3 linked regions of the Oreochromis niloticus genome follow. The protein of the gene in region 1 interacts with the protein of each later gene in a pairwise test. Links are inferred from orthologs where the notes say so. Each region holds a gene or a part of one and is shown on either strand. Other genes may lie near its edges.

Evidence for each region. The genes of interacting proteins can lie anywhere in the genome.
Region 2: the proteins of tsen54 (region 1) and clp1 interact in binary tests that used the Homo sapiens proteins (3 or more experiments, as listed by UniProt). The link is inferred for Oreochromis niloticus from reciprocal best matches to the Homo sapiens genes TSEN54 and CLP1.
Region 3: the proteins of tsen54 (region 1) and tsen2 interact in a two-hybrid assay, tested with the Homo sapiens proteins (2 studies listed by BioGRID and IntAct). The two-hybrid records come from large-scale screens. The link is inferred for Oreochromis niloticus from reciprocal best matches to the Homo sapiens genes TSEN54 and TSEN2.

What each region holds. Positions count from the first base shown.
Region 1 is NC_031969.2:32,227,646-32,235,544, reverse strand, and holds the start of tsen54 (tRNA-splicing endonuclease subunit Sen54), read left to right. Parts: upstream 1-4,899; 5' UTR 4,900-5,025; coding exon 5,026-5,141; intron 5,142-7,899.
Region 2 is NC_031966.2:22,597,636-22,605,629, reverse strand, and holds the start of clp1 (polyribonucleotide 5'-hydroxyl-kinase Clp1), read left to right. Parts: upstream 1-4,947; 5' UTR 4,948-5,118; intron 5,119-5,966; 5' UTR 5,967-6,016; coding exon 6,017-6,289; intron 6,290-6,434; coding exon 6,435-6,542; intron 6,543-6,634; coding exon 6,635-6,754; intron 6,755-7,994. UniProt on the Homo sapiens protein: Polynucleotide kinase that can phosphorylate the 5'-hydroxyl groups of double-stranded RNA (dsRNA), single-stranded RNA (ssRNA), double-stranded DNA (dsDNA) and double-stranded DNA:RNA hybrids. dsRNA is phosphorylated more efficiently than dsDNA, and the RNA component of a DNA:RNA hybrid is phosphorylated more efficiently than the DNA component.
Region 3 is NC_031970.2:1,298,463-1,305,909, reverse strand, and holds the start of tsen2 (tRNA-splicing endonuclease subunit Sen2), read left to right. Parts: upstream 1-4,400; 5' UTR 4,401-4,599; coding exon 4,600-4,764; intron 4,765-7,447. Other genes in the region: MKRN2 opposite strand protein, read left to right, coding at 1-207.

The DNA of each region.
Region 1 (7,899 bases):
TAATTGCACAAAATAAAGTGTTTTAAATTTTATCTTGAAGTCGTTTTTCCAAATATTTTGAATAGTTTGTTCGGATTTCGCCTGTCATTTCCAGGTTAAAGCTCTCTCCTGTTTCATTTCAAAAGGGTGTACATGAATTAACTGCCAGGGTGAATTGCCAAATGGCATCAACTGGCAAGACTTGCTTCCTGATGCCCTGTACAAGGACTTTGATTGGTAGCTTGAAGTGGGCTGCATTATTTACTGGCAGGACTGGATCATATCACATGTCAAATGGGCAAACAAACCAAAATAGGGATGAATGCCACTGTTTCCAGCAACAGACAGTAACAGACAGATTTGTAGAAAGCAAACATCTGTTGAGCAAAAAATAAACATGTTTCAAGGTTAGATGTTAAAGAAATTGTCACGTACAGCAGCAAAAGTTTGAGGTCAACACACACAGAAACACACATGATAACACAAATATCAAACTATTAAAATATTAAACATATAAAATTCCATGGAAGACAAAACAAAATTATAATAAGATTAATGCACACAGGACTGAGTAGTCAAAATCCAGCTTTTCAGGTCGTGAAAGAAGTTATGATGATCTGTTCAAATTTTTACATTTTTGGAAGCATATTCTAGGCTTTAATTACTTCATAGAAGAAAGCTGATTGTCACGATCAATACAGAACAAACATATTTGTTCTGTGTTGCAAAAGAGCTTTTTCCAGTTGAGACAAATAGCAAAGCTGAAGCCAGTTTTGTCAAGACGTGACATGGAGAAGGTAATACATGCTTTTATTTCAACTCGGCTTGACTATTGTAATGCACTTTATGTTGGAGTCGGCCAAACATCTATTGCACGTCTTCAGCTCATTCAAAATGCTGCTGCCTGCCTCTTAACTGGTACCTGCAGGCATGAACATGTAACACCTATCCTGTCCTCTCTTCATTGGCTTCCTGTTCATGACAGAATTAATTTTAAAATCCTAACGCTGGTTTAGAAATGCCTAAATGATCTTGCTCTCCCATACCTTTCCGAGTTACTTCAGCCATATATTCCTTCGCGGACCCTCAGATCAGATGAGCTGCTGTTGGTTGTCCCAAAATCTAGGCTAAAGCGTAGAGGAGAATGAGCCTTTTCAATTATGGCTCCCAGACTTTGGAATATGCTGCCTTTAAATATTAGACAGGCATCTTCATTCCAGTTTTCAAGTCACTTTTGAAAACTCACCTTTTTTCGATAGCGTTTAGACTGGTGTGAGTTGATATGTTTATTAGAGTTGGATGTCTCAAGACCCTTCTTGGTCTTGAGACCGGTCTCGAGACCACTTTTACATGGTCTCGGTCTTGTCTTGGTCTCGCTGTCTCAGTCTTGTTGTCTCAGATCAACATAGTGGTCGGGAGATTTGGAGTCAACAGTATCCATGACACACAACGTAACGTTCGATAATGTGTCATGCGCAAAGCATCAGCTCTAAGAGCCGTGCTTAGAGAGCGCTTTGTAATGAATCAGAAGTGTCGACTCCCATTGAGCGAGAGCCGGCTCCTCACTTAATTTCCTTTGGCTGCTCAGCTCTCACACAGTGGCTCAGCTGTGCTCCAATCCCTCCATATTGTGGCCAATCACATGCAAGGATATAGGATAATATCATTATGTGAAAAACAGAGAGGGTGATGGACGCGACAGTCAAGTGGAGCGTGCGTCTGTCCTCTCAGTACGTGAGTCAGCCAGTAGACAGCGGTGAGGAGGGCTGTGTGAGTGCATCGCAAAAACACATAAATATGCCTGACACCCGTAAACGAGGCAGCATCTGGCTGCAGTTTAAAGACTTTTTTTGTCTCGGTCTCGTCTCGACTTTGTCTTGGTCTTGACTCGGTCTGTCTTGGTCTCGATACCCTCTGGTCTTGGTATTGTCTTGGTCTTGGTTTAGGCGGTCTTGACTACAAGTCTAATGTTTATTATGTGTATTATTATGTGTTTATGTGAGTGTCAGTGTTTTTTATCTTGTGTTTTACCCCTTTGTTTCTGTACAGCACTTTAGGCTAACTTTCTGTTTTTAAATGTGCTACATAAATAAAATGGATTTGGATCTGTCTGGTCAGACTCAAACGCAAAACTCAGTAGTGCAAGTTTAGAGATTTAGTTATAATGCAGGTGAGGGTTGTGCTATTTACAGTCTTTCAGCAGTTTTTAGTTCAAAAGCTTCTTATTTACAAAATCCAACAAAGGAGCGTTTCCAAAACTGATGGGAACCACTGGGATGTCTTAAACAGAGGACAAGACACATTAGAAATCTTTGTGATGACAACAAGGACCACGACGTGCAGATCAGTGAGGAGATCTCTACCACAGTGAAACAAAGCTCAGGCAAAGACTGAATGTCACATCCCAGCATAGTCAGCTGTTTGCCAGATGTTTTGCAGGTGTTTTGCTTCAGGTGTGTCAGGGAGAGGGCAGAGATCCCACCAGCATTCTCGCCCTGTAAGGTAAAGCAGGGTAAGTAGACACACACACACAGAGCAATAAGCACACATACCAAGAGGGAGAGAGAGAAAAAGACATGGTGTATCTTATGTACTAACGGTGTATATATAAGTTTGACTATATATGGAACATAGATATATGTAATTATGTAGCAAAGACAAAAAATGATAAATAACTCTAAATATGTTTTATATTTTAGATTCCACCCTTTGCTTTGTTGACAGTGCTGCAAACCCTTGGCCTTGTCTAAATGAGCTCCATGATGTAGTTACTTGAAATGGTTTCACTTCACAGCTGTGCCTTGTCAGGGTTCATTCGTGGAATTTCTTGCCTTCTTAATGAGGTTACGCCATAGGTTCCGTTGTGCAGAAGTCAGGTTGGTAGCTGACAGCCCTATTTGACAACTGTCAGAATTCATATGGCAAGAACCAGGCAGCTAAGTAAAGAAAAATGACAGTCCTTCATTACTTAAAGAACTGAAAGTCAGTCAGTTCAGAAAATTGCTAAAACTTTGAATGTGTCCCCAGTTCCACATAGAGTTCCAGTAGCAGACACATCTCTACATCAGGCCTTTATGCTCAAATAGCTGCTAAGAAACCACGACTAAGGAAAAGCAACAAGCAGAAGAGATTTGTTTGGGCCAAGAAACACAAGGAATGGACATTAGACCAGTGGAAATCTGTGCTTTGGTCTGATGAACCAAATTTGAGATCTTTGGTTCCACCCGTGTCTTTGTGCAACACAGAAAAGGTAAACAGATGGTCTCTACATGCATGGTTCCCATCGTGAAGCATGGAGGAGGAGGTGTGATGGTGTAGGGGTGCTTTGTTGGTGACACTAGTGGGGGTTTATTCAAAGTTGAAGGCACACTGATCCAGCATGGCTACAACAGCATCCTGCAGTGACATGCCAACAGATCCAGTTTACGTTTAGTTGGACCATCATTTATTTTTCAATAGCACAATGACCCCAAACACACCTCCAGGCTGTGTGAGGGCTATTTGACCAAGAAGGAGAGTGATGGAGGGCTGCGTCAGATGGCCTGGCCTCCACAGTCACCTGACCTAAACTCAGTTGAGATGGTTTGGGATGAGATGGACCACAGAGTGAAGGCAAACGAGCCAACAAGTGCTCAGCATCTCTGGGAACTCATTCAGGACTGTTGGAAAACCATTTCAGGTGAAGGAGTGTGCAAAACAGTAATCAAAGCGAAGGGTGGCTATTTTGATGAATCTGAAATATAAAACGTGTTATGAGTTATTTCACACTTTTTTGTTTACTATATAATTCCATATATGCTCATTCACAGTTTTAAGCCTTCAGTGAAAATTTACAATGTAAATAGTCATGAAAAGAAGGTGTGTCTAAACTTTTGACTGGTAGAGAACTTGAGTGGAGTTAATTTAGAATTAACGCTACCTGGGCACACGTTTGGCTTGGTGGGTGAGCAGGCAATCTACTGCAGAAAGCAGCAGCCCCCTGCTGACCTTTAGGAAGAAAAACACATTACACACAAATGTATTGGCTTCTTTTCTTGGGAGACACAAGTGTTTTAAATTTTATCTTGAAGTCGTTTTTCCAAATATTTTGAATAGTTTGTTCGGATTTCGCCTGTCATTTCCAGGTTAAAGCTCTCTCCTGTTTCATTTCAAAAGGGTGTACATGAATTAACTGCCAGGGTGAATTGCCAAATGGCATCAACTGGCAAGACTTGCTTCCTGATGCCCTGTACAAGGACTTTGATTGGTAGCTTGAAGTGGGCTGCATTATTTACTGGCAGGACTGGATCATATCACATGTCAAATGGGCAAACAAACCAAAATAGGGATGAATGCCACTGTTTCCAGCAACAGACAGTAACAGACAGATTTGTAGAAAGCAAACATCTGTTGAGCAAAAAATAAACATGTTTCAAGGTTAGATGTTAAAGAAATTGTCACGTACAGCAGCAAAAGTTTGAGGTCAACACACACAGAAACACACATGATAACACAAATATCAAACTATTAAAATATTAAATATATAAAATTCCATGGAAGACAAAACAAGATTATAATAAGATTAATGCACACAAGACTGAGTAGTCAAAATCCAGTTTTTCAGATAAGCAACAAGCAAGAAGATACCTGCCACAGTGAAACAAAGCTCAGGCAAAGACTGAATGTCACATCCCAGCATAGTCAGCTGTTTGCCAGATGTTTTGCAGGTGTTTTGCTTCAGGTGTGTCAGGGAGAGGGCAGAGATCCCACCAGCATTCTCGCCCTGTAAGGTAAGGCAGGGTAAGTAGACACACACACACACACACACACAGCAATAAGCATAAGCACACACACACACACAGAGCAATAAGCATAAGCACACATACCAAGAGGGAGAGAGAGAGAGAGTATTTATGCCTGATCCAATTTTCTGCCTTCTTGTGGGACCCTTTGGTTTGTTTTGGCCTGAACAAATCAAGTATTCTGGAAAAAAAAAACCTTCCCTGATTTTAAACTGTGCTTTATTTTTAAGCCCTTTGGCGCCCTCTGATGGCCACTTTATAACTGATGAATATGACGGTCACTAGGACCCAGAGGAGCGCTGCAGTAGCAGGGAGACCCGGCATCATGGCGGATCAAAACAACACAGACGATAAAGGGAAGTTCTACAGTGAAATTTTAAGGTGTGTTTTTACCTTTAACGGTACCTGTGAGCGGGCTTATTCGCAGGGTAGCGGTATTTTCTCTGGTGTTCTCCCTCAGCGTCTGTTTGTCATTGAATCACTGTGGTCGGAACTCTCAGAGTTCTTGTGCACATGGTAGCACGGGTTAGTTTAAAGCTAATTGTTATCTTCAACGCGAATACGTGCTGAAGAGAAAACGCCTATAGTTTCATTAAAACGCACTGACGAAGCTGCACAGCTGTTTCCAGAGAAACACTGTTACTGAAATATTATCTGGACACGTTTTCTGAAATATTGACACTCTGTATTCGGCTCTCTGTCTCCCTCTGTTGTGTGTTTTGGTAAAAACAGCCGTGGGAGAGAGAGAAAGCATTAGGAAAGTTAGGAATTAAGTAACAGTAAAATATTTTTTGGAAGTCTGCTGTTTTTGTTTTTCTGCACACAGACAAAGCATCAGGGTGGAGTCCTTTTAAAACAAGTCTGGGCGAGATCCCGTGGCACTGAGTCACGACTTTATGACTCAGGATGGCACTTTAATTACACGCAGATGGACTTCATAAGTGATACTAACGTTATACACCAACATGCAAAGCCTGGAAAGTATGCCAGTAACTTGGGGACTGCTGCTTTCTTGTCATGATAATCTTTCACATCGATGCAGCTTTGCTAGAAAGATAAACAAGTTTTACAGTTACCTAAAACTCAGGTATGAACTGAACGTGGGCAAGAAAAATCACTTTAGTTAAATGAAACACAAATAAACTACAACAACCTGTGCAGCTCAAAATGCTTCAGATAACTGAGAAACAGAAACGGAACAAATTAGACAGCGAAACAAGTAACATGCAGTTCTTAGCAATGTAATGTACACAAAATAAAAGCTAAAAGCTGCTTTTTGGGACCCACGGGCCTGTCATGATTCGTAGCCTGGCACCATGTGAGACAAATATGATGTACAGAGACTAAGAAGTGCCTTAAAAACAGCTAAAAGGATTCTAAAGTCATTGCACAAACTAGCAGGCAGCCAGCATGTTGTAAAACTGGTGTTACGGTGCGTTCACGCGATAGAGGCGGCCAGAGCGTCAGGTTTACATGTAAAGTCAGTGGAAAGAGCGCGATGACACGCGATTGCGCGTCCGGTGAAAATTCGGAAGCAGATTTGCGTCGCGAAAACGCCTGAAACGCCTGAAACGCGCGTCAGTGTACCACGTGGGGCGCGTTTGGCTCGCGAAGAAAACCACGCGTGTCAGATTGTGTGTTGCATTTTGTGCACACGTGCGTATCGCGCCAACCGCTGGAGTTGGAAAATCTGAACTCCGGCGTCAAATCGCGCCGCAACAACCAATCAGGAGGCTGGTGATGTGGCTGTGACCTAGGTACTGACGCGCACTGTCCCGCTATTTTCCCACTGATGTACAAATACCTTTCCGCCAACAAGATAATGTGTTTATTCAGAGGACATCTGCAGGAGAAAGTGGAAGAGCCTCAGGGACACATATAATAAGGAGAAGAGGAGTGGGTCTGCAGCAGGATCGGGGAAGAGATGGAAGTTCTTCGCGGTCATGGGGTTTCTGGACCCCTTCCTCACCCCGCGGGAGACTAGCGGCAATATGGTGCGGACCGTGGAGAACTTCCCCCCCCGAGGACCAGGGACAGCCCGGAGAGGCAGCAGGGGAGTGTCAGTCAGAAGGACAAGGTTTACAGTGAATTAATGTAGGCAGTTAATTTATGCGTGTTGTCATATAGGAATATATTTTGTTTATTAATAAAACAGTATACAGTGGTCCCGCTGTTCACCCGTCACATTTCGCTGATTTTTGTTATTGCACCGTACAGCTTTCAACAATGCGCATTGCATTCTGCAGCCTGATTGACAAATCTCCTCCGTGCTGTGTCTCCTGCGCTTGCCAAACTTATCATGTTTGGTTTTGATAACCATCACGTCCAATAGAAAAAACAGCACAAAAACACTCATAACTATGACCCTCATTCGGAGATACACACCTGCACCGCGAGGGAAAAAGGCGCACGAAAGTGGCGCGCAGACGGAGAAAAAGCACAGCATAATAAAACTTCCTCCCACATTTCCAGTTCACGCGCGTCAAAATATGCAATTTTGACGCGCGATGGATTTTTCTTGGACACACATTGAGGTGCGAATGTGCACGCGTCAAATTTGGGGCGTTTTCGCTCGCGCCAATCGGCGTTCGGTGTGAACGCACCGTTACGGTGCGCACACACCGAACGCGATAGAGGCGGCCAGAGCGTCAGGTGTACATGTAAAGTCAATGGAAAGAGCGCGATGACACGCGATTGCGCATCCGGCGAACATGCGGAAGCAGATTTGCGTCGCGAAAACGCCAAAACCCGTAAAACGCGCGTCAGTGTACTGCGTGGGGCGCGTTTGACTCGCGAAGAAAACCATGCGTGTCAGATTGTGTGTTGCATTTTGTGCACACACCCGTACCGCGCCAACCGCTGGAGTTGGAAAATATGAACTCCGGCGTCATAAACACATCAGTGTTTATTCAGTGTCCTCTGAATAAACACATTATCTTGTTAGCGGAAAGGTATTTGTACATCAGTGGGAAAATAGCGGGACAGTAGGCGGGCTTGCTACCTTTTGCGCGGCTTTATCGGGTCAGTCTGAAAATTAAAAAGGAGAATGAATGAACTTACCAGGTTGCCCGATCTCCTCACTTCTGTGCCTCCAAGCTCGGTCCTTTTTATTCCTGTCTCGGTAGAAGTAGCAGCTGGC
Region 2 (7,994 bases), on another chromosome or scaffold:
ATTATTCTTGTCCAATGTTTACGTTTTAGCCCAGCGTTCGGGAGATATGACCAGTGGAAGCAAAATGACGAGGAGTGACGAAGGAGATGTTCTCAGTCCCTTCTCTGATGAGTCAAGTGCCAACTGCTGACATCTTCTGGACGCATGAGGTCATCTGGTGGAGCATAATGATGCTAATGATGCTTTTATATTTGTTTTGGTAAATTAGAGATTTTCTTAGTTACGTTTTAGATTTATTACTTACCCTAGCCAAAGACTTATTGTTTTATGCAAGAATGATTTTTTTCTGTGCTCAACTGGATGACTTGATACAACAATAAATGATGGTTTTTCTATCCATCCACTTTCTTTATTATGGGTCACAGGGGGTCTGAAGCCCATCCCAGTTGTCCTTGGTCAAGAGGTAGGGTACACCCTTTAGAGATCACCAATCTATCGCAGGGCTAAAATGGAGAAACAGTCAACCATTAATATTCACATTTACACCTACAGCCAATTTAGAATCGCCAGTTAGTCTAATTAACTTAACCCAATGCATGTTTTTGGACTTTGGGAAGAGGCTGAAGACTGCTTGAATCAAAGACTGGACATTCATTCTGCAAAGCAACAGTGGTAACCACCACATCACTGTGTTGCACTTTTGACCTTTTCCTAAATGTAAATCAGCAGGACAGAGATAAACACAAAAACATGTTTAATTTACTCAGGCAGCAACACGCATAACCCTTTAAATCAGGTAACACGCATTCACTGCTTTAACTGTATATGCTTAAGTGTGTCACCATACAAAAAAAACATGTTCCTGTTCATGTATATATGTATATAGCTACTTACAAAGATAATGAAAGAACACTTTATTGCTGTAGGTGTTTAACAAAAGGTTTGTATTTGCACTTTAAATGCAGTTTTAGTTAAATTACAGTAGTTATATTAACACATTTATGACATTAGAAATAATAACGGTAGATCTTATTTTCATTCATGCTCGGAAAACTTCCCATTAATGGTTTCGTCCAGCCAAACTGAAACCCCCTTCCCAGATATATTGGTACAGTCGACATGCGCGCGCCAAAGTTTTGTAACAGCAATGGCGTCCAAAGCAGGTGGGTGTGTGTTATAGGAATGTAAACAATACCGTGATTTTTTTTCTACAACAAAAGCTGTAACGGAGTTTGTCTCCGGTTGATATACTGAGGAGGAAGAGGGTTGTACCATTTTGATGCAGCGGTTATCATTCCCATGACTGTTTCTGCCTGTCTTTGTAGGTCATTTAGCTGAATGGCTACATGCAGGAGCAAAGTAGTAACTGCGAAGATATGTACATTATTCACTTTCTGAACTCGTTAAATCTAGCAGGAGTCGGCGCGCTGACCTTTCTGACCATGTTTATTATGCAACGACGCATTAAATGGGTCATTATTATTACTATCTGTTGGGTTATGAAACTTCTCAGCCTGCACGTGCCTGAGTCCTCCTCTACTCACTCTCCTCCCACCAAGGGCATGACAGGAGGAGTTGGAGCATTGGGCATTTATAAAACAGAACTCTTTTCTTCATTTTATTATGCTATACATTAAATATGACATGTAGCACAGCTGCATCCGAAATTATTTTGTACTGCTGTATTGTAAGACCTCTAATGTAACGGTGGTAATTGCATCTTTGTGTATTTAGGGCTTCCGTTATTTCAATTCAGTGACCATCTCATGTAACCTAAACAGAAAGAACTAGTTGTTTAAGGAGCTCTTTTCCCACCATGGTTTGTATTTTCCAGCTGTTTAAACCTTTGAAAAGATTACTGTTGGAGCTATGTAGTGGTTCGTTGTTTAATGGTTGTGTTGTTTAGTTCATCTTGAGTCCTGTGACAAACTGGCGATCTGCCCACAGTGTAAACTCCCTGTCGCCCTATTTGAGCTGGGAGTCTCACACCCAGCTGCAATCCTGAATTGAATAAGCAGAAGAAGATGGATGGAATGGTGGATGGATGATTGCTTTATTTTGGGCTTTTGTAAGACTCTAGTAAGGCCAAAGACACCTCAGGCTAAATAAGTAGGTGGGCGGGCATAGGACCAGCATGCACCAGGGAGGGCCTATGGTTTTATTTAACCATGGCAAAGGAAGCAACAGGAGCCAGCTGCTTGCAAAGGATCAAGTAAATCGATGAACTGCATGTATTTTTTCTTTTGGGAAATTGACTTCTTTTTTCTTCTACATACTTTACTTGCACATTGTGCATCACTGGCCTTTTGATTGTGAATTTTGAATTTCACTTTTCGACAAGCTGCCACTACAGATACACCCTTGAGTCCTGAAATGTAGCTTCTTGTGCAGGCTACTCTCTTCTCTGTCCTATTGATGTTTTTAGAAATTTTCCATTCAGTATTGTGCGGTCTGATTGAATTCTGGGTCATGGTCAAAAGGACAGAGGATAAATGAGATATGGAGACACAAATTCAAGAAATAGCCAAACACAAAACTACACATGTGTGTTTTTAGGTCGTGGTGGGAAGAAGCGCAAAGCAGAAGTTCAGGTAGAGGAGGAGAAACCTTCAGTGGAGGAAAAGAAGGGCAGAGGAGACGATGAAAGCAGCCAGGAAGGCCTCAGGGTGGTCATTGAACACTGGTATTTTTTTTTAATCACATTATAATCAGTGGTGAAGGAAATGCTAATTGCTTTTATGTAAAGTGAGTAAATATAGCCGTTGTTTTAAAATACTTAATCACAAATAAAAATCCAAGTGTTTAAGTATCAGAGGTGAATGTATTGATTAGGTGGAAAAAAAACAATGGTTCTCATGAAATCTGTTTATATTATTATTAAACCAGAAGCAAAATGGATAACATCACAGTTCACTTTGTAACTCAACTATTTAAATCTGCAACAAGGTGTAATCTTGATGTCTCACTTCTGGCAGTAAAAGCTGACGAGTGTACGGGCGTAATGCTGAGGAGGTGAAATCCGCCCTCCTGGCTGCCTGCCCTGAACTGACTGTGGTCCTCAACCCTGAGAAACCTCGCAGGAACAGCTTCGAGATCACTCTGCAGGACGGGGGCAAAGGTAAACACGCTTACTCAGCAATATGGATCCTTCAGTGTAAAATAATGATACAAATGACACTTTCTTCCCGATTCCTAAAGAAACATCTCTGTGGACTGGAATAAAGAAGGGCCCACCTCGTAAGCTGAAGTTTCCACAGCCTGAAGTGGTAGTTTCTGCTCTGCAGGAGGCTCTGAAGGCTTAGACACCCAGTGAAGGTTTGGCAAAGCAGTTTGACTGAATAATGAATGCATAAAACAAACAGATACAAAATAAGAAAATGCAACTTTACTTTTTCTTCACATTAAACTGCTAACTTATGTAGCCCTGTAAAGAGAATCAAGTCAAAATGTCTTCAGTATGAATTGTAATGCAGCTATTCAGTGAACAACAGTTGCGTACAAGTGTCTTTTTAACAAAACGTTTCCCATATTATTTGCAGCCCAGCATTCTGGAGATGCAGCCAGTGGAAGCAAAAATGACGAGAAGTGACCAAGGAGATGTTCTCAGTCCCTCCTCTGATGAGCCATGCTCTAACTGCTGCCATCTTCTGGGTGCACGGTGACACCTAGTGGAGCTTAGCTGAGCCAAAGCATTTCTCTGACACATTACTGCTGTTTACTGTTGTTTCACAAAAGTTCAGTAGTGGTTTTATGTCTGTTTTGTTTTTTGAGAAATAAAATCTTTTTTTGGTAATTGTGTGTATTTTGTTATAAGTCTATCCAAACACTCATCTGTTTTATGGAAAGTTTTTCTTATTTAAATTCAGGAAGTGTGGAGAAGAAAACTAGAGATGCATTTTGTGTGTTGAACTCTTGGCAAATAAAGTAAATTTTACTAATTGAAATGGTTAATAGTTTTAAACAGCTGACAAAGTACCTTGTAGCATATTTCAGAAGGTTGTCTAATTGCATTAACCCAAGCAGTGCCCTTAATTAGTAATTTGAGGGCTCTGGTAGTGTTATGCAAAAAAGTAATTGCCAAAACGTGATTGCAAATATTTGCTAAAAATGGTTGCAGGTATTTAAACAGTTTTAAAACACTTGTTGGACTTTAGAAATTAGTATATCAGAAGAACAGTTGAGGTTGAGCAGATTGGAGACAAAGTTAAAGAGGAAAGGCTGAGATGGTTTGAACATGTGAAATGGGTACATTGGATAAAGTATGTTCAATCTGGAATTTCCAAGCAGGAGGAAAGAGCAAGACCACAGAGAAGGTAGTGAAGGAAGACATGCAGAGGATTTGCGTGACCATGGAGAATGCTAGGGATAGAGTGAGATAGAGACACAATCCGTTGTGGCGAAATGAAAGAAGATTTGTTAATCTGTGTAATCTATTATCTGTCAAGCGTCTCTTGTGTGAATGAAATCAAGCCATCCCAAATCCCCCACCCCAATTTTTTAATAGAACTTTATTAAGCAACAGTATACAGAGAGTGTATACAAATTGAAACATAATTAACATATGCCAGGGGGTGTAATGTAAAACGTTACATACATTCAGATAATTTTTAATTAGTACAAATAATAATTGTTTTTATAGCCTTTTTATTAAGTGAACCACTAATCAATTTTATGTAAGATAGACTATCATTATAGTACTGTTTAAAATTAGGTTGTATTTGCATTTGTGGAAATAAAATTTAGCTAAGATAACTAACAGGTTTATTATAAAGTATACATCCTCATTTTTTGCCTTCGAAAGAAACAAAATACAGAATTTTCCCATTTCATAGTAAAGTTCTTGTAGAAAAACATTCCTGTCACAAAGTAGATGCTATAATGAATTTTGTGTCACACGTGCAAAACTAATATAAACACGTCGCGTTGTGAGGACGTCACACAATGACACCCAAAAAGTGATCGTCTGCTAAGTGTTTGCGAAATTTTGTTTTGTTTTTTATATCAATATAAGCAAGGATAGCAGACACACAAAAAGGATTCAAAGTCTTCCGTTTTTGGCAAACGAACATTTTGTTTTAATAGTTGCCAGGATGTGACGTCATTATCACGCGACCAGACACTTCAACGGTTCCTCATGAGCACGGGACCGATTTCTTTCTACAACAAGTCTTGAAATTGGTGCGTAACTTTTATATATTACAAATTATTACGTTTTAGACTTTTGCTTGACGTTGCGAGAATTATCTAACGGGTTTGTAAGCAGTCATTCGACCTTTGCTAGTCTTAGAAAGGTCGAATTACCCCCGGTGGCTCCGCTAGCTGGTTTGTTGATTTAACTGGTTTCCCTCTTAACTTTATTTGAACCTATCATTGTCCGTAATCAGGTGTGTTTTTGCAATTTGGCTTATCAGGTAGCCAAGATTAATCCCACCGCCGTGGTTTTAGGACAAAATCACTGAAGTGTCCTTCCATTTCAAATTATCGTGGGCCTTCTGCTGGACTACATCGAGTTGCATAAAAATCTTACGGTCCAAAGTTTTGTTATATTATATTATTGCTGTGAACTTATAGTCTCATATATAGAAAACCCTTTTCAAAGAATTAATATGTGAAAATATATGGACCAACTTTGGACCATAAAACTTTCAGGGAAATCGAAAATGGTCAAGCAGAAAATGTTCAAAAAATGTCGTGATCTGACATTGAATAATCCTGCCGGAAAACACCGAGCACAATATTTAAACAATTGGATCTGTTACTCTGTGTGGTCAAGTTTATCCTTTATGCATACAATGTTCAAACACCAAATTTAAAATAATGTGAAGGGTAATGCTAGAGTTAAAATTAGTGTTATTAAAAAGTTATGGGACTTCAGTAGTTAGCTTGTGACTTTAATTTGTAAATACTTAATAAACATCTGTGTTAACACACTTTCCTTTAAGCATTGCTTTATTAGAGAAGCTGTGTGTAATGTTTTGTCGTATTACTACTTTATGTATGGTATGCATGTAACTTTTGCTTTTCAGCATGCTACTTCTGCCAAGTTATTGCAACCTGAAGTTTCTTGTTGACAGTCATGGCAACAGAGGGGGTGGAAAAGACGAGTGAAGATGCTCCAGCAGCTGGAAAGGCCAGCACCAGGTATGACCTGGAAAAGGAGACTGAACTTCGCTTTGAGGTGGAGTCGGGGGAAGCAGCTGAACAAGTTGAACTGGAGCTCCTCACAGGAATGGCTGAGGTGTTTGGCTCCGAGCTAAACCGAAACAAAAAGTATACATTTGGACCAGGCTCCAAGATTGCGGTTTTCACTTGGCAAGGCTGCAGTGTGAATCTTTATGGGAAGCCAGAGGTAAGCATGTGGATGGGAATCCTTGCAGATTTGGGAAAGTTCAAATGTGTCTGTTGTGTTACGTTTTGTCACATCATTGTGTGTTTTACTTTGGGTAAAAAAGGCAAAGCCACAAATAACCATCGTCTTGCTGTCACCATCGCAGGTTGCTTATGTGTCCAAGGATACACCCATGCTGCTCTACCTAAACACACATGCAGCCCTTGAACAGATGAGAAAACAAGCAGAGCGTGACAATGAGAGAGGACCAAGGGTACGTTTGACTGGGGAACTACTTCATTCAGGAACTTGTCAGATCCCATGAATACTTCTTGGATTAATACTAAATAATAAATCGACCCTCAGGTGATGGTGGTGGGACCGACAGATGTTGGGAAGTCAACGGTGTGTCGGATGCTTCTCAGCTATGCTGTGAGGGTTGGAAGGAGGCCAACATTCGTGGAACTGGATGTTGGACAGAGCGGGGTAAGATCAAGTGGAATTATCATTATAAATATCAAACAGTTGGCTGGTATTTAGAATATTGCATATTACAGCCTGCAGACTCAGTTTGTCTTGATTTTGTCCAAAGTAATGCTAAAGCATGTACAGCATCTACTTTGTTTATTTAGCTTTATAGCTGTGATGATCCCCCTGTTGATCTGTCCATGTGGCTTTTTCTGTTTTATCAGATTCACAAGTTCTGGAAAAAAATCCTGGTGTCTGTTTTAATATCTGTACAAAGAAAAAGAACATTAGTCTTTCAGTTGTTTACTGTCACTGGTGTTAATTCAAGTTATTGCAATAAACGTCAGAACATAAAGATTTCTGCACAGAATTGAGAGCACTGAATTGCTCCCTTCATTTATTTAAGGGAAAAACTATCCAAACCTTCCTGGCCTTGTGTGAAAAACATATTTGCTCCTTAAATCTAGTGACTGGTTGTGCCATCATTTCCAGGAAAATACTTAGAAAATACTTAGGTTTGTAATAACTGCGAATAACTTTCACATCACTTTGGAGGAATTGTGGATGACTTTTCTTTGCAGAATAGTTTTAATTTATCCACACTGGAGGGTTTCCAAGCATCTCAATTTGATTTAAGTCCAGGCTTTAAGTAAGCCACACCAAAATCTTTAATTCAGAGGTGGACGTGGTGGCATGTTTTGTGTCATTATCCTGCTGCATAAGCTAAGTGCACTTGAACTGATAGACACCCTCCTTCAGGATTTTCTCATAGAGAGCATAGAGGTTCCATGAATTACAGCACCCTAGACTATCATACTACCACCACCATGTTTGACTGCTGATCAAAATAGTTCCAGTTTTTATCTCATTAGTCCACAGGTCTTGGGGATTATTAAGTTGTTTTCTGCCAAATGTGAGATGAGCCTTTGCTTTATTTTTTGTTAGCAGTGGTTTTCTCGTTTGAACTCTCCCATGGAAGTCAGTTTGTTTCACAACTGTTCTTTTAGATCATAGCATAATGTATTGCTTTTAGCCCACTTCACGTTGTCATACAGGATCTGTATTTCTTGATTCAACAGGTCTTGTAGTAATCATACCTGGGTGTGGCTAGTAAAATTGAGCTCAGCTTTCCAGAAAATGTGGTTAATCATAGTTAGTGATTCAGTTTATGATTCAATAAGGGAGCAGATTACTTTTTCACACAGGTAAGTTTAGATAGCTTTTTTTCCCTTAATAAATGAAATCATCATTTAAGTGG
Region 3 (7,447 bases), on another chromosome or scaffold:
TTCAGCTTCTGTTTGCACTTCGTGAACGGCGTTCTGGCGGCCGAGGGCCGCGGCACTCTGAGCAGAGACGACTTCACCCACACCTTCATCCTGCCGAGGATGAGGAGGGTGTCCAAATACACCACGCTGTACAGGCACATCCAGAAACACCAGTTCTACACGGTGGATCGACAGCAGCACGCTCAGGGGGCGGAGCCCAGCAGCTAGAGACCAGCCTCACCCACTGTGTCTGTGACCACTTAGTCGGACCCACGACCAGAATGGAGTCCGTGTTAGTGTGTCATCGGTCACATGTGACGCTTCAGTGTCAGACCTGATGTGCAATGAACTCACCTTCACACACACACACACACACACACACACAGCTCTGTTTCATGTAGTGAGCTCAGCTTTGGTTCATGTCTGTGTGTGTGAGGCTGCTCGTCCTCCATCTGACCTTCTTTCTTTAGCGCGTTAGTTAGGGCTGTGCGATATGACCAAAATCTCATATCCCGATATTAAGACATCTATCGTCCGATAACGATATAAATCACAAAAATGTAACATTTTCTGTAAATTCTGTGAATCTCGGGCAGCTCGACTTGCGTGAAGTGTTTCCAGCTGGGCGTCATGGACCTGGAGTCAAGTGTTTTAACTGATGCATGAAACGATACATTTTTAGACATAAGTTGTAACGGCCGCCGTTTTCTTTGTGAGTATTTATTACACAGCGTGCTGCGGGGAAAAGCCTGTTCTAACGTTTGAGTCTAAGGTTTATTTTTTTTAGCACCTGACGGCTCTTTTTTTGCTTCTCATCCGTAAATACTCTGCATCTTTCATGTGATTCAGTTTATTTTGAAAAGTCTCAACAGGATCTTGAGCTTTATTGTGAAAGGTTTATGTGGAAAATAAACAAGCGGACATGCCGTGGTTTTACCGTTGTTGTTGCTAACGACAACCCATAAAAACAGGCGCTTGTCTGTCTGTAGTGTGGTTATATTAAATATAAGAGAAAGACAGAACTTTAAGAAATTCATATAGCCACTACAGTGACCATCAAAATGATGAAAAAATATTGCCGTAAACAGTTTATTTTGCGACACCACGAAACAAACGATAGCGTAAAATGAAACGATAGACGTTTTTATATCGTCATCCGATATATATCGTTATATCAAACAGCCCTAGCGTTAGTTGTGTGAACTTTGACCTTTTGTTGTCCCTGAGCCACACCGAGGGTCTCAGAGGAAATTACAACTTTTATTTTATTCTGAAATAAAGTTTCTTAAATCGCACTTCCTGCAGCTCTCTGCTGTTTCCTGCCGTGGAGCTGCAGGTTTTCACCCTCGGGGGCAGAATGTGGCGGGTGGGTCATCGCCATGACGATTGTAGTGTGTGCAAGAACAGTGATTATTAACACTGATTATAAATCCCAGTTCTTCTATCGGCCCGTGAACGCAGCGTTTCACCTTCATGTGCATTAAAATGTGTAGAGATGGGCAGTAACTTGTAGTAAGTAAGTAATATGTAATCTGAAGTAATCCGATTACTTTTTTCATGTAAGGGATTGAGTAAAGTAAGGGATTACTATTGCAAAAAAGTAATTAGATTACTGTTACCTTCCCGTAAGCACGCTGCATTACTGCAATACTAAACCGTGATTTTGTTTGTTTGTGTCTCATGACAATGACGTACGAGCGTGCGGCTTCAGTGGCAGCAACAGACGTGTGCAGATCAACAATGGAGTGATGGAGAGAGTGTGACCATGCAGCCTTTAAAGCGTGGAAGTACTCACATTACTTTGAGTTTGATTCTGTAAAAAGTGACAGAAACATTAGTGTCCGCTGTGCACTCTGTGTGGGAAGAAAACTTCTTTCTAAATTTGAGCGAGCACCGAGCACGCTGCCACGGGAATGTGACGTTCACAGAGAAAGCCCCGGATCCCCCCACTGACATGACTGCTGTGGGCAAACCTCCACCCGCCCCACTCCTGCTGAACAATAGATTTAAGAGCGACAGGACTCAGTGCTGCTGAATCTGCTGTGTTTTACATGCATCTATTTCAAAGAGTGAGTGTAAACACAAAACATGATTTTATTTTATATGCTGGAATATGCAGAATAGGTATAAATGTTAAACATATTTCTTCAAGTCAATATAATTTAATGTTGTGCATAAAATTAAAAAGATTAAAACAAATAAAACAAGTTTTAAAAAGAGACTTTTTCATTTGATTCCATTGTATATGATGGATTATGCAGAAAAATAGAATTGGGCTGAAAGGTCTGTTGCTTTATTACATATTCAGGTTTGTATCATGTTTTTAAAAAGTAACTAAGTAATAAAGTAACTAATTACTTTTGAAAATAAGTAATCAGCAAAGTAAAGGGATTACTTTCTTGGAGAAGTAATCAGTAAATAGTAACTAATTTCTATTTTCAAGTAACTTGACCAACACTGCCTGTGACTGACCTGTGTTCGACTCTCGGCTGAAGCAGAAGTAAAACTTTGTTTTGGTAACCACGGCTGTGTTACATACACAACACATATTCAGGTATTTATTCAGAAAAAGTTTTATTTGTATCGTTGTTCAAACTCCTGAAGTAACAAATGAGTTTTGCTGCTTTGACTCTGAGCTCTCACATTTACTATGAATGATTTTCACACTTTGAGGTCTCAGGTGTTTCTGTGATTCAGTGCAGACCAATCAAAATGCTATCAGAGCAGGGGCACGGCTAGGCTGGCGTGGAAACCAAAGCCATTTACACATATGTAGGTGTTACATTCTCTAATATGCATCATATATGTACTGTATAGCCTGTTTAATAAATATGTTTGCAGCCCAATAAGTATAAAATCCAGAAAGCTACAAAACATGGTTCAGCTACAAACACAAGTCTAACTTCAGTTTCACTCTTTTTATTACAAATAATCAAGTTAATTTTACACAAAATGTCAGAAATGTGCACGTCATGAAACATTTTTCACCAAAAATTTAAACCTAATTTTTCAGGATTCGTTGGGTTAACCCGCTGGGCTCCAGGATACAACAGCTCATTTTTAACTATGTTTGATTTTATATTTATTACTATTCATTTTTTCTCGCCTTATTTTATTTCCTTTTTCTTTTCAGCACAAGGTCTGAATTCACAGTTAGTTTTTCATTGGCATGCTGTATTAATACAACTCATCTGAAATCACACAAGAACATAAAAACCAAGTAGGAAAAAGTTCATTTTATTTTAAAAACTCGTGCAAAAATTTGATAAACAATAAAGTTATACACAACTTTTGACCTAAAAATGCAGCCAATGCATCTGGTGATTTTTGTATAACCTTTTAAGAATACTACTAAAACTAAAATTAAAGAACAATCAGGTGACACAATAAGATGCCCCACAGTGCAAAAAATAGTTTGTCCACCACAAGACAGAGGAGAACCCCACAGGGATAAACCTGCAGGTCTAACAACAGGAAGTGGATCACTCGTCCTGGAGCCAGCGTTTACACTGCAGTCTGCCTTTGTGACGTTCATTAGTGCCCTCACTGACACACAAAACAAAACAAATGACTACACAACACACTAACTACACACTCCAAACACGAGAAACGTCACAAATCTCTCACAACTTAAGACTCGCTGTCCATATCCCTCTCTCTCTCTCACCACCGTTGCTCCAACACTTCCCCCTCCTCCTAAATGAACCAATCCCACGTGTTGCCATATTTTTATTTTTATTTTTTTGGTACATTGGTGGCTTTTTTTTCCTTTTATTTTTTGTGCTGTCCTTAGAAAACGCATTTTTATGATTAAAAAAAAAGCATCGTGTATATAATTTTTTTAATCATAACTCTGGTTTTAGTAGCCTGTCAATAAAATTTACAAATATATAGTTTGGAGTCTGAACTTTCAACACAAGCTGAAACAGCGACTCAGCGTGGCTGCAGCTTGTAGCTATATCGGCTTAAATCAGTCATGTGATTTGGAGGCGCAGCACACACAGGGTTAATAGCGCTCACCTTCATCATCACACCACCTGTTTGAAATCTGAAATGCCCATGGTGTTGCTCAAAATGTGCTCCGGCACAGATGTGGGCGGGGGTGACACTATACAATATAATATGTGTTACAATTTATATTTAGTGTGAACTTGTAGCTAGGCTTAAAGTGTTAATGCTAACTTATTTTAATAAACAACATTATCACATGCAAAGCCAAGGAGGCAGTAGGGGTGGCAAGAGATTATTTTAGGGTGCTACCTCATGCCACCCCGTAGATCCGCCCCTGTTTCAGAGGCTTTTAGTGGCAGATGGATGGAGTGCATCCACACAGGTGGTGCTGGCAGCGTGAATGGATGAATTCATTACCGAAGGCACAGCTTCCGTTTTTAGCCTGACAGGAAGTGTTCGTCAGATTTAGGATGACACACAGGAGCCCGCAGGGGGCGGTAACGGGTTACGGGAAAAGAAGAAGAAGAACTGGAGGTGGAACTACACGGAGAAGATCGACAGTTCCAGTCGGACACAGATTCGGTGACGCCACAGCAAAACGAACCGCGCGGAGGCTAACAGCTAGCAGTGCCAGACCCGCAGTGCCAGCCCGGTTCGACACCAGGGAGCATGCACGCGGACTTCCGGGCTCCCCGGCGCCGCCTCCGGGTCACGGAGGAGCTCGAGGCTCCGCTGCCGCTCAGCCCGCGCGAGAGGAGTCACTTCCGGGCGGAGCTCCTCAATGAGCACGTGCTGGTCTGTGATCCGGAACACAGCCAGAAGATCCACGACCAGGTCTGACCACACCCACCTCACCCGAGCCCCTCCCATCTTCTACAGAGCTAACAGCCGCGCGTGAGAATCAGAACAGCCTTTTTTTTCTTTTTCTTTTTTTTAACTTTATTAGTAGAATTACACGGGCACAGACGGTCACGGGGTTCGTGTAGCGGCCGTTAGACACAGACTGGGGCTGAAACAACATATCAAACAAGCAGCTTTATGGGAATGTTGTAACATATTGCCTGGTTTGCATTAGAAAATTTGGATTGAGATTTAGCCAGTAAGATTAGTAAATTAATCAAATAAACTTCGTTTGCTTTATTTCCAGGGTCAAAAAAGCCAAACATTATTTTTCCATAACAGAGAGAGCGGTCAGAATAGATCAACGAAACAACAAAGGCACAGAAATCCCACCAGGAAAGATAAAGTAGATAAACAGGACAAAGACACGTGAGCAATCTCTTCATTCTGACAGGAAACAAAATGAACAGTTAACATCAGTCTTTTTTTATATCGTACAAGAAAAGTTCTGGTGGGGTCAAAACGATGAATGATTTTCAAAGATATTTTCTTTACTTTGTTGGTTAACTGGAGTTTCGATGATAAGGTCCAAATTTTCTTCCACTCCAGGTCCCAGTATAATTAGTTATTCCAGTGAGCACTGGCCACTGGGACACAAGTTCTGTCTTTCTGAAACAGAGTTGGTTTGTCACGGGTGTTTTTCTTCTTTAGATAGGGGAAACAGCAGGATCCAGTGGTAGAGGGTCAGATCACTAACAACAGAGTTTCACCAAGTCGCCGGTCCTGGTGTCGAGCGCACAATTTGACGTCACATCTTGTGTTAGCCGTTAGGGTTAGAATCCTGCAGTAAAACCCCATTGCTCACTTTGATAACTACCCTGACGCTCACACTGTCCTCCAATCATAAAGCCGTTAGGACGTCAGTGTTCAACATTCAGACAAGAGGAAGAAGGAAATAAACAGGAGAGTCCTGCCGCAGCGTCCTGCACTTTAATGCTGGATTTAAATACTAGTGTCCATAAAGGTGCCACGACCTCCTTACACTCACCTGTACTTATATCCACGGCTACAGATGGCTGCCAGCACGGCGCTGGCACCCTTACTGATCTGGATTATTGATAATCTAATTGGACTCTACATCCCAGGGTGCCAGTGTGACAGTATAAAGAAGGCGGAGCTTCAGGTAAAGCTGCAGTCTTTCAGACGGCCTCCAGGGGGCGACAGCTGTCAAACCGGTGCTCTGACCTCACTGAGCAATTTGCTGATACACTTATGACTAAATCAGAATCCTTTATTAATAAGAGTAAGAAGAGTAACAGACTGAACTAAATTAAATATATAAATTAAATACAATATATTACAAAGTTACAAAAAATATGAAATAGCACTATATAAACAAATAGCTCAATGATAAATGTCCAGATTATTACAGAGATTAAATATACATGATAGACATTTTTCACTCTAACCTGTAAAACTTTGTCGTTTTCACTGTGGAGGACGTACAAACGCTGTAACTACTCCACCGTGTGCTGTATATTAGGCTGTGTCCCAATTAAGAGACCGCACGCTTGAAGTACGCGCACTACACGTACTACGTACGGTGCGTAATATAAGTACAAGAAGTGCGGAAGTGAGAGGCTTGTGAAATGGGACGGTCTAGCCTTCGTAGCGCTGTTCAGGTTGCCTAGCAACCATGATACTAACCGCGAGAAACGTTACATACAGCTTTGTGTGACATAAATGAAGGAGAAAAAATGTTTTGTTGGTCAATCATTTTTGTCATGACATCACTTTGATTAGTTGAGTATCTGAGGCTGAGACCACAGGACTGTGAAACATGATTGTTGGGCTTCATTTCTGTACTGAACAGTCATTTCAAGATTAGTTAGTAAATAACAATTAGCTAATGTTGTTCATGAGACTAAAATCATCTCACTGTGGTAATGTAAATATAATATGGCCAATATTATATGTATTGTCAGATTATTATGATATGTATATATATATATATATATATATATATATATATATATATATATATATATACATATATATATATATATATATATATACATATATTATTTTTTTAATATATTTTTTTACAGGATATATTACAGCAGTGAGCTTGAACTCTGGGTCAAAGATTCAAGTTGCTGTTATTTATATTACCTATTCCTTAAATCTTCACTCAAAGACAAGTATCTCTGACAGTGTATATACAGATGTATTATATATAAGAGACAAACATTGTTCGTTTAATATGTTGACATTACTAAATTTAGCTCAGTGCTTACATATATGTGGAAAAACAAAATGTACGAGCTGTGATAACTGTGTCTGATAAAATGAAGAGTAGACTGATATATTAAATATTCCTTTATTGGGTGAGAAAATCAGACCATGTCATAACTGCTTTAAGTCATACAGAATAGATATCAGAGCCTTAAACAGGCTGACTTCTGCTAAATGGGTCAAACTGGGCAGAAAGTCTACAAACACATAACATCCTTATAGAATATGATGTAACACTATAGATCAACTTAGCTCAGAATATATAAAGCATATAAACAATTACAGCAATATGACGCAACAAACACAGCAGTGCTACTAATCCAAAATACTCAAAGCTTCATAGAACTGAAACAAACATTTATTTTTAGCTCCATTCTGCTGC